2 linked regions of the Arabidopsis thaliana genome follow. The protein of the gene in region 1 interacts with the protein of each later gene in a pairwise test. Each region holds a gene or a part of one and is shown in the gene's direction. Other genes may lie near its edges.

Region 1 (4,198 bases):
CCAATCCAACATAGTAAAAAACAAAGAAAAACCATTAATCATCTACCAATTTAGCAACTGTTTAAATCTTTTACTCTTGATGGTTAAACACTTCTCTTCAACAAAGAAGCCAAAGTAGAAAGACATATCAAGTAGAGAGACACATAAGTAGTTTTACCTTAACTTCATCAACATCAACTATTAGAAACAGAGCATCCTTATAGTTAAACGCAAGCTCTTCGAAGAAGGAGTTCATAAACACAGAAGGAATACACCATAATGCAGTGAAATGAGCCACAATCTGCAAAAAACCATAAAGGAACAACCGTTCTTGGTAATTCATATAAACAAACAAGACAGAGCCATTCATTCACAATCCTGAACATTAATATTCATGGTTCATTCTCACTAACTTCATATCTTAAAGAGTAACACAATTTGGATTTAACCAATTGTAAATCAAATTCTCCATAAAACTCTAATCCTAAGATCTTGATTCTTTCATAGGTCTTGGATCTAAATCAGATTTCATTTTGGCTACTAGAAAACGAAAGTGATAAGAGGAAGAGAGACTTACGGGACAATTCTGATTCTTGGCTTGACTCACATAGAAATTCCATGACTCTGCAGAATCGATTTTAACAACTCTTGCCATCTCTTGGAGCTTCCTTTTTTTCTAAATCTCAAACAAGATTTGGTGATTCAGTGTTTATCTACTTGCATGATGGGACCGAGTGGACAAAAACTATGTCTGAGTCATACACAAAAAGTGTGGCCAGTTATCTTTCAACGAGTTACGAAATAATTTATTAATTTCTAAGATATTTAAGAATAAGTGTTGACCAAGAAAGCTATATTAAAAAGAGAACCAAAAAGAAAATAGATATTTTTTTTATGACTATATGCAATGTTAATGTTTAGAGGAATTTCATTGGTGGTTTCTAAATATAAGTTTCTTAACATTAAAACAACAAAAATAATATTATTTAATTATGTGGGTTTCTTAAATATTTAGAAATTCTCTCCAAAATTTCTTATATAAAGTATTTTGGAGATGGTTTCTTCATTAATCAAAAAACCCACACATTTTTTTATAATAAAACTTATCTCTCTAAAATAAGAAACTTAAGTTTAGAAACCATTGATGGGGTTTGAATCCCCTTACAAGTCAGAATAATAAGGGGATTGAATTAACTTACATACTGCAGAAAGACCAAATCCTTCAAAATGTAAATATTAGGTTTACACAATGATGCAATCACCTATTTAAAAATTTACATCATTGGTGGTCTAACATTTTTTTTTTTTTTTAATAAGCATTAAGACTAAAAACTCAAGATCTCTTACTCAAGACTAATAATTCTGGAACATGAATCTCTTTCTATGTCTCATGTCCAGAATCTAAAATCTTTTTTTTTTTGTCTCTTCCATAACGCACCTCAGAAGTTGAAATCTTTCTTTTTCTTCTCTTCCTTGCCATGCATTTTCCTCTTCCTACTATTCTGCTACACATGCTCGACGACCATGTCACTCAAGTCCACTGGCTTATTGCGCTATTTCTCCTCTTCTCTTGCCTCCTCATACTGTAAAACATTTCCCATAGCATCCAGCTCTTCTGGCTGTAAACTGAAATCCACTCTATCTGTCTTTTGCCCTCTCAGCAAATCAACCCTTTTGGTTCCCGTCTTGTCCTGAGTACCAGTCTTAATAACGTATGTGTGTGTAGTTCTCAGCAATGTTCCAGGAGCAACAACACTCTCTCCCTTTTCTTCAAGTACCTGGTATAGAGCCCTATCAGGTTCCTTTCTCTGTTCCTTACGAAGTTCAATTGCATCCGGTGTCTCAATACCAGTAGGAGTGCTTGACAGAGATTTTGACACGTCCATTGCATCTACATCGGCCTGAGATGCTTTGTTCTTCTTCTTCCGCTTCCGTCTGCGGCGGCGACGGTCGATCTCACGAGATTTCTTGGGAAGGACGCTATCAACGTGTGCGACGATTGAATGAGCGGTCATATTCGGGTGTTGTTGTGAAAAGAGAGATCTAACATTTATTTGTAAGAGATAAAATATAGGGAAATAAAATTGGTCAATATAGCTAATTTCCAAATTTTTAAGGAAGGAAATCGGAAATCTAAACGTCATGCAAAAAAAGAGGAAAAACAATAAATAATTTTATACGTTTTCCAATAATTTTTTGATTATTTATTTTTGGAAAACAGAGAGACACTTTGTTCAATATATATAAACCCTAAGAACGAAGTGGTGAAGGCAGCAAAGCAAAAATCTCAATTTCAACCTCTTAAGTCTCTCCAAAGTCCCATAAACCCTAAAACAATGTCGAGACGTTTCAATCCGTTAGAAGATCCGCCGAGTGCTTCTTCAAGCGACGAAGAAGGTAAAGAAATCGCACGAAACTCTTCTTCGGATGATGAAGATGACGTTTCCTCTGAAAACCCATCACCTTTGAAGACGACTCTCGACGCCGTTTCCGATTCCGAATCTGGTTCGGATGAAGAAACCGATTCAGACTCTGAACTCGAGAAGAAGAAAGATCAAGTTGTGACGAATCCTGTGGATGTGAAGAGGGCTAAGAAGGTGAAAACCTCCGAGAAATCTGGGGCTAAACGTTCTCTTGAAGTGGATGAAGCAGCAGTGTCTATGGATGTGAAGAGGGCTAAGAAGGTTTCAGGGGAAGAGGAGAAGAAGAAGAGTGGTGGCGGAGGAGAAGAGACGAAGAAAACTTATTTCCAGCGACTTTGGACTGAAGATGATGAGATTGTGGTTTTACAAGGTCTGATTGATGACAAAAAAGATACAGGGGTAAGTAATACGAATAAGGTTTATGAGTTGGTGAAAAAATCTATTAGTTTTGATGTTAGTAAGAATCAGCTTATGGAAAAGCTTAGGGCTTTAAAGAAGAAGTATGAGAACAATCTTGGTAAAGCCAAGGATGGTGTTGAACCTACTTTCGTCAAACCTCATGATCGCAAGGCTTTTGAATTGTCTAAGTTAGTTTGGGGAGGTATTAGAATGGCTCTTGCATCTGGTATGAAATCTAATGAGAAGTCGAAGAAGAGTAGTAAGTTTGAGTCTGTGAAGCATGAACTTGATTCTTCTTTGCCCAACAGTAAAAACAACTGTGAAGATGAGGTGATGGATGAAGGAGAAGTCTCTTTTACAAAGTCTTCTCTTGTTAGATCGATAGTGGGTCTTGGCATGGATGAACTTACTGCTCAACAAGGATTGAGTAAGCTTGCCTCAAAGGATATGAAGAGATTTTACGAGCAGTGGAAAGCGATGCAGGCTAGGGAATTTGAGTTCTTTTTGCAGAAGCATGGTTTTCTTTTTGAAGTGCTATCAAAGATATCTGAAGCATTTGGATCAAACGCTTAGATATATTTATGGTTTTTGTTTTTTTGGTTCTGCCTCTTTTGTTTAGAACTCTTGGCTTTTTTATATTATATTTTAGTTTTCTATTGATTCTTGAAAGAGTTTATTTTGGAATATTGCGGATTTATCAAAATGGAAGGAAGCTTTTTTGAAGCAATTTAAGTTTATTTACAGATGAAACATTTTGTGTATCTTGATGAAGAAGACGTGTTATGCGCGGCTTCTATTTGCTAGATTTTCTTGTTGCGCATTCTCTTTGTCTTCTTTTTTAGCAGCAATTGCTGAAACATAATATGCTGAAGTCACCACTCCATGTCCTAGACAAAATATGCCTCCAATAAGAAAAAACCAACGATGTGGCAAGCTGCAGAGTCGATTCGTTCTCGAGTTGGCTAATGTTCCTATCATTAGCGTTGAGTAGCTGACAACAAAAAAGATCCTAAGACAAACAAAGGTATGTCAAAAACAAAAACAGCTGACATAATTCAAATTTGTCTTTTGAATGAAATCCAAAAACCTATTATCTTTTCCATTACCAGGAGAGAACAAGGAAAGCCACAGCGAGTATCTTGTTCGCCGTTGCTCTTTTGAAATCTTGCTTAGAGCGAATGTAAGTGCAGCCTCCAAGCACATTAGCTAGGACATGGACAATAAACAGAAGCACCATTGCAGCTACTCCCTCAGCAAATGCTCCATCGCTGGGGCTTCTTCGACATCCAGAACCTGAATGTCTTGAATGTTGTTGATGATGATGATGAGGTGCCTGAAGGATAAACATCAAATACAAGAAAAGATTATTGGTAGTTAAAATAAAATAAACTACATTT
Region 2 (6,292 bases), on another chromosome or scaffold:
TGGTGATTCATCAGCTGGGTTTACGAAATGTTTAGGTAGTATTTGGACTGGTAAAGATCGTTATCTATGGATTGATCTCTCTGCTGGTCCTGTAGATTATGGTCCTGCTTTATCTGGTGATGGTGTTTTACCAAGAGGTGAGTTTCATCCTTTAGCTGCTTTACATGGTCGTCCTAAATCAGAAAAAGCTTTACTTGCGGATTTGGCTTCGTTGGTGTATAATGCTTATCAGGTTTTGATTGTTCCTTCTTTGAGAATCCCTGTGTACTTTGAGGATACGTTGGTGGTTCAGTTTATTCATGTGTATGGGTCAGAGGTTAAGGATTCGAGTGGGTTAGATTTGGAGTTTGTGAAGAGAACGTTTATGGATGAAGCTGAGAGTGGTGGGTTGTTGTTAGGTGAACAGAAGTTGAGTTTTAAGAGTTATAGTGTGAATTATAGAGAATGTTCGATTTGTTCGTTTGCGGTATCTCGTGGGATGAATTCGTATACTTCTAGGTTTTTGTTTGATAACTATACTTTGATTGTGAGTGAGTATTTGGATTCTAAGCATATGCATCGGGCGTTGACTGATTCGGCTGAGGAGTTGAGGAGAGTTGCGGGGATTGTTGAAGAAGAAGGAAATGAGTTTGCTAGGGTTTTACCTGTTTATGTGTTTGATTTGGATATCAATACGCCTTTGTTGCTTGATCGGTATCATCAGTCTGTTGCTTTTAGAGATATGGTGATTGCTGTTAGAACTAGAGGAACTCAAACGGTTAGTGATTATACTTGCAACGGGCGTCATGTGTTTGTTCATACGAGAGACTTAGAACGACCTCTCGTTGGTTCCATTCTGCAGAGTATGTGGGGTGTATCTTCTACTCATTTGACATGGAGCCCGAGACATAACACAACTCTAGTTGATTATACATGGAGCATTGGGCAAACACCGTTTGGACCATTCTCTGATATCTCGTCTCTATCGTTTGTTCAGAAAGATGCTGCTAAGAGAAACGTGATTTTGACATCTTTGAACACAACTATCACAAGTGCAATCGATGTTATCGATTCCGCGGTTGCATATGGAGGAGATGTGATCCTACGGAAACAGAATCGCCACTCTGAGTTCATGCAAAGGTGGAATCTTATGCAGTACAAGCTGGATAAAACGGTTTCTGCTCTATCACACAATGAGTTCGAGATGGCTTTGTTCTACTTAAGATCAGCTTCACACGACTTGTACTCAGTGCATTCAGTAGTGTACCTCGCGTCACAACGGGTAGAAGCGAGTCTCAACTGTTTCAAAGATCCACCGTTCCCATGGGGAACTGTTTCAGTGTCGGGATTCGGGTTAATGGCTGTTGGTTACGTGTTCTCGAAAAGAGATAGACTCTTTAGGAACAAACGAAAACAGTTCTGAAGAATTCTAGCAATGCAGGGTAATTTATAGTCATTACATTGGATAAAAAGACTTTGATAGTTTGGTTTTTGAGGTTAATACAACATGTACTACTATTATGAGCTTGTTTCCATTTGGTAATGTTGAACAATAGAGACAATGCTCGGATCCTCTGTTTGGTTGTCTATTTATTTTGAATAGCTCCATCACATTCCTATTGTCTCCTTCAATAATCACTTCTCCATACCCTTAGACCGGTTTTCCCCTCCTAACCAAAGCCAAACAAAACCGAAGTAACCGGTTTGGTAAACCGAACCCGCATGCCTACATAATTGATATAAAATTCTGTTTTATAAGAGGTTTCTTTTCCAAATGTGAAAAAATCCAAAACTCAAAACAACCTTCTGTTTTTACCGTTTTTTGATAAAGGTCTTTTTCCCAAATCTGCAAAACCAAAAACTCAAAAATTCAATTAAACCGGAAAATCTAATTTTCGAAAATTGGTTTTCTTCCCAAAATTAAACCGCCTGAGTGTCTATGTATAAAAGTTGATATCATAGTTTGGAAAAAAAAAAATCACTCTCTCTCTTTCGCTCTCGCTTTCTCGTCTCTCTCGTGTCTCTCAACAGAAAACCATGGCGGACGGCCACTCCTTCAATAATATCTCTCTCAGCGGTCGCGGTGGAAAGGTACCATCTTCTCTCTCTGTCTCCTTCTATCTCTCAAGATCTTTCAATTCCTTCAAAGTTTTCACCTTTTCCTCTTCCTTCGAAAACCCTAATCTCCTTTCTCTGTATCCCCTTTTGCTTCCGCCGCTCGATTCTTAAAGAACTCAATGAGTCAAATTTAGGGTTAAAAAAAAGATTGTCGCTTTCATTTTTCAGTTGTGTTGTTTTCTTGTTTACAATTGTTAAAGCTGCGGTAGTTTTTAGGGTTTTCTTAAGGCTAATTAGGGTTTCAATTTTGGTTTTTTAGAACCCGGGTTTACTTAAAATCAATTCTGGAGGAATTCAATGGAAGAAACAAGGTGGTGGAAAAGCTGTGGAAGTTGATAGATCTGATATTGTAAGTGTTAGTTGGACGAAAGTGACAAAGAGTAATCAATTGGGAGTCAAAACCAAAGATGGATTGTACTACAAGTTCGTTGGATTTCGAGATCAGGTTTGTGTGTGTATATCTTTTTTATTTGATTTGATATTGTAATGTTTGTGCTTGTTCTGATTCCTTTGTTTTGTAGGATGTTCCAAGTCTGTCTAGCTTTTTCCAAAGTTCTTATGGAAAAACACCGGATGAGAAGCAATTATCAGTTAGTGGTCGTAATTGGGGAGAGGTGGATTTACACGGTGAGAGTTCTTATAGCTTTTAGGCTTTACTTGTGGTTGTCTAGTTTCATTTGTGGATCTAAAGGGAGAATTTTTTGTTTCTTTGTGTAGGGAATACACTAACCTTTTTGGTTGGATCAAAACAAGCTTTTGAAGTATCTTTAGCTGATGTTTCACAGACTCAGCTTCAAGGGAAAAATGATGTTACTTTGGAGTTTCATGTTGATGATACTGCTGGTGCTAATGAGGTACTGGTTTCTTTTGATATGTAATCTCTAGGCTGTTATGTATGTACATTTACTGATTTATATTCTACGTGTTTACAGAAAGACTCGCTGATGGAGATTAGTTTTCATATTCCTAATTCCAACACTCAGTTTGTTGGTGATGAAAACCGTCCACCTTCTCAAGTGAGTTCCCAAACTATTTTCATTATATGTATGTGCCTCAAGTATATATTTTTTTCTGTTGATGCTAAAAGAATGTCTCAGGTTTTCAATGACACAATCGTTGCAATGGCTGATGTTAGTCCTGGAGTTGAGGATGCGGTCGTCACATTTGAGAGTATTGCAATCCTCACACCCAGGTAAAGAGTTGATTACTTAAACATTTGTTGCACTATTGTATGGCTTCATCTTGTCATGACTAAATGATTTGGTTGTTTCTATCACAGGGGTCGGTACAATGTGGAACTTCACCTTTCTTTCTTACGATTGCAAGGACAAGCTAATGACTTTAAAATCCAGTACAGTAGCGTTGTCCGTTTGTTCTTGCTTCCAAAGGTAATTCTTTTTTAAGCATATCTCAGGGCAGTTACCTATGTTAGCAGTCATCAGATTAAAGGGATTATCGTATTATGATCACTGAATCGTGTTCACATTAATTGAGTTCGTATTTTTTTTTATATGCCTGAGCAGTCAAACCAACCACACACGTTTGTTGTTATCTCTCTAGACCCACCAATCCGGAAAGGTCAGACAATGTACCCCCACATTGTTATGCAGGTAAACATTACTTACATTTTTCCTTCCATTTCAATTTTCTATGTATAATTTTCGTTTTTTTACTCTGATTTACATAACTGTTTTTGCATCTTCTCCAGTTTGAAACAGACACCGTTGTCGAAAGTGAACTGTCAATTAGTGATGAACTTATGAATACAAAGTTCAAGGACAAGCTGGAGCGATCATATAAGGTTTCTGTCTGGTCTGCACTTACATTATTGTTCCTGAATAAAAAAATTTATACATACGCTGAATTGTATGAATTTTCAGGGTCTCATTCATGAAGTATTCACCACCGTGTTGCGTTGGCTGTCTGGTGCAAAGATCACTAAACCTGGGAAGTTCCGCAGTTCCCAAGATGGGTTTGCAGTGAAATCGTCTCTCAAGGCAGAAGATGGGGTTCTTTATCCACTCGAGAAGGGATTTTTCTTCTTACCTAAACCTCCAACGCTTATACTTCACGATGAGGTAAATTATGGTTATTAAGGATTGGAGATTTTTTATAGGCTTTGAGATAGAGTTGGGTTTTCTAACCTGTTTTTTTTTCGTTTTTAGATTGACTATGTCGAGTTTGAAAGGCATGCTGCTGGTGGTGCTAACATGCATTACTTTGATCTTCTCATAAGACTGAAAACTGACCATGAACATCTGTTCCGTAACATTCAAAGAAATGAGTATCACAATCTCTATACCTTCATAAGGTTAGCGCGGATTATTTCATTGTCTCCGTCTATATTTACTGAGTGCATTTAAGATTTGTGGTGAATATTCCTTATGTTTTCTTGCTGCAGCTCTAAGGGTTTGAAGATTATGAACCTTGGAGGTGCGGGTACCGCAGACGGTGTTGCTGCTGTTCTTGGGGATAATGATGATGATGATGCTGTTGACCCTCATCTTACGCGTATCAGAAACCAAGCTGCTGATGAGAGTGATGAGGAGGCAAGTACTTTATGTCTGACCGAATTACTTCATATTCTAATGATCATGTGTTTGATAATCGAGACTTTTAATTTATGAAGGACGAAGACTTTGTTATGGGTGAGGATGATGATGGTGGTTCACCAACTGATGATTCTGGCGGGGACGACTCTGATGCTAGTGAAGGCGGTGTAGGAGAGATAAAAGAGGTAAACTTTTGTCGCATTCATTCGAACTCTTTCAGCAGCAGTATTTGTTTCTCATATCTTCCTGTCATTGACTTGTTATAGAAATCTATCAAGAAGGAACCTAAGAAAGAGGCTTCGTCATCGAAAGGATTGCCTCCTAAGAGGAAAACTGTAGCCGCAGACGAAGGCAGTAGTAAGAGGAAGAAGCCGAAGAAGAAGAAGGATCCCAACGCACCAAAAAGAGCAATGTCTGGTTTCATGTTCTTTTCCCAAATGGAAAGAGATGTGAGTTCTTCTCTCCTTTCTTTTACTTTTACCTCTATGATGTAGGCTAAGTTGCGAAATGGAGTATCCTCGGTCTATTACATACATGAGAGCAAACAATTAACAGACAAACTTAGCACATTCCTGATTATGTCATTTTCCATTTGTGAACTGAACAGAACATAAAGAAGGAACACCCAGGAATAGCATTTGGAGAGGTGGGAAAGGTGCTTGGAGATAAGTGGCGTCAAATGTCTGGTAAAAAATTTGAAGATCCTTTTCAAAAGTAAATACATTACTTGGTTTTACTTTATCATGTGAATGTGTTTTAATTCCCCAACCGTGTGTATGTATAGCTGATGATAAAGAGCCATATGAAGCCAAGGCTCAAGTCGACAAGCAGCGATACAAGGATGAGATCAGTGATTACAAGAACCCTCAGCCGATGAATGTGGACTCAGGAAACGATTCCGATAGTAACTAAACTTTGATTCTCCAACATTCTCTACTAGTATCTCATTTACCTACAATACTAAGTTATGGCATGTAGTAAACGTTGGACCTTTAGTTGTTTGGAGTTAACCAGATTTTTCTCTTTGACCTTAAAGATCTTGTGTTACTTCCTAGAAAAGAAGAGCCTGTCTTTACCTCAAAATATAGAGTACTCTGGTAAGGCCATAGCTAAGAAGCAACAAAACAGATCGTGTTTCTATCGAAATTGTTATACAAGAGGTTCTGTATGATGAAAGTTATGGACAAGAAGCATCTAAAACCTTATGGACAATGGGACGAGCTTTACACATAGCTTGCAACGATGTAGCTTTTCGCATTGTGGTTCCTTTTTCACTTTCTCTCATGTCTAGATACTTTTCTTCAACCCTCTCCCACTCAAAACATTGGACCAATGATCCAAGAGCCAAAGTCACTAGCCGTTGAGCTAGCCCTGAACCAGGGCAAGATCGTCGTCCAATCCCAAATGGCATCAACTTTTTATCCTCTCCTTTTTTCTCAAACCTCTCCGGCTTAAATTTTTCTGGCTCTTCCCATAACTTTGGATCTCTATGGATGGCCCATGCATTCACCAAGATGATTGTGCCGCGTGGAACGTCATAGCCATCAACTATACAATCTTCTGATGCTAAGTGGGGTAAAAGCATTGGAGCCACCGGATAAAGCCGTAAAGTCTCTGACACAATGTGCTGAAGGTAAGGAAGT

Evidence for each region. Proteins that work in one complex are often made in the same cells at the same time.
Region 2: the proteins of AT1G11510 (region 1) and HMG interact in binary tests that used the Arabidopsis thaliana proteins (3 or more experiments, as listed by UniProt).

What each region holds. Positions count from the first base shown.
Region 1 is NC_003070.9:3,870,954-3,875,151, reverse strand, and holds AT1G11510 (DNA-binding storekeeper protein-related transcriptional regulator), read left to right. Parts: upstream 1-2,222; 5' UTR 2,223-2,315; coding exon 2,316-3,374; 3' UTR 3,375-3,429; downstream 3,430-4,198. Other genes in the region: CXXS1 (C-terminal cysteine residue is changed to a serine 1), read right to left, coding at 158-280, 557-634; AT1G11520 (pliceosome associated protein-like protein), read right to left, coding at 1,533-2,123; AT1G11500 (transmembrane protein, putative (DUF1218)), read right to left, coding at 3,582-3,810, 3,908-4,134.
Region 2 is NC_003074.8:10,782,938-10,789,229, forward strand, and holds HMG (high mobility group), read left to right. Parts: upstream 1-1,950; 5' UTR 1,951-2,016; coding exon 2,017-2,070; intron 2,071-2,356; coding exon 2,357-2,542; intron 2,543-2,618; coding exon 2,619-2,724; intron 2,725-2,814; coding exon 2,815-2,951; intron 2,952-3,029; coding exon 3,030-3,113; intron 3,114-3,194; coding exon 3,195-3,289; intron 3,290-3,376; coding exon 3,377-3,485; intron 3,486-3,620; coding exon 3,621-3,707; intron 3,708-3,805; coding exon 3,806-3,898; intron 3,899-3,977; coding exon 3,978-4,175; intron 4,176-4,262; coding exon 4,263-4,408; intron 4,409-4,498; coding exon 4,499-4,646; intron 4,647-4,726; coding exon 4,727-4,834; intron 4,835-4,915; coding exon 4,916-5,098; intron 5,099-5,256; coding exon 5,257-5,335; intron 5,336-5,433; coding exon 5,434-5,561; 3' UTR 5,562-5,792; downstream 5,793-6,292. Other genes in the region: AT3G28720 (uncharacterized protein), read left to right, coding at 1-1,402; CYP81D11 (Cytochrome P450 superfamily protein), read right to left, coding at 5,827-6,292. UniProt on the Arabidopsis thaliana protein: Component of the FACT complex, a general chromatin factor that acts to reorganize nucleosomes. The FACT complex is involved in multiple processes that require DNA as a template such as mRNA elongation, DNA replication and DNA repair.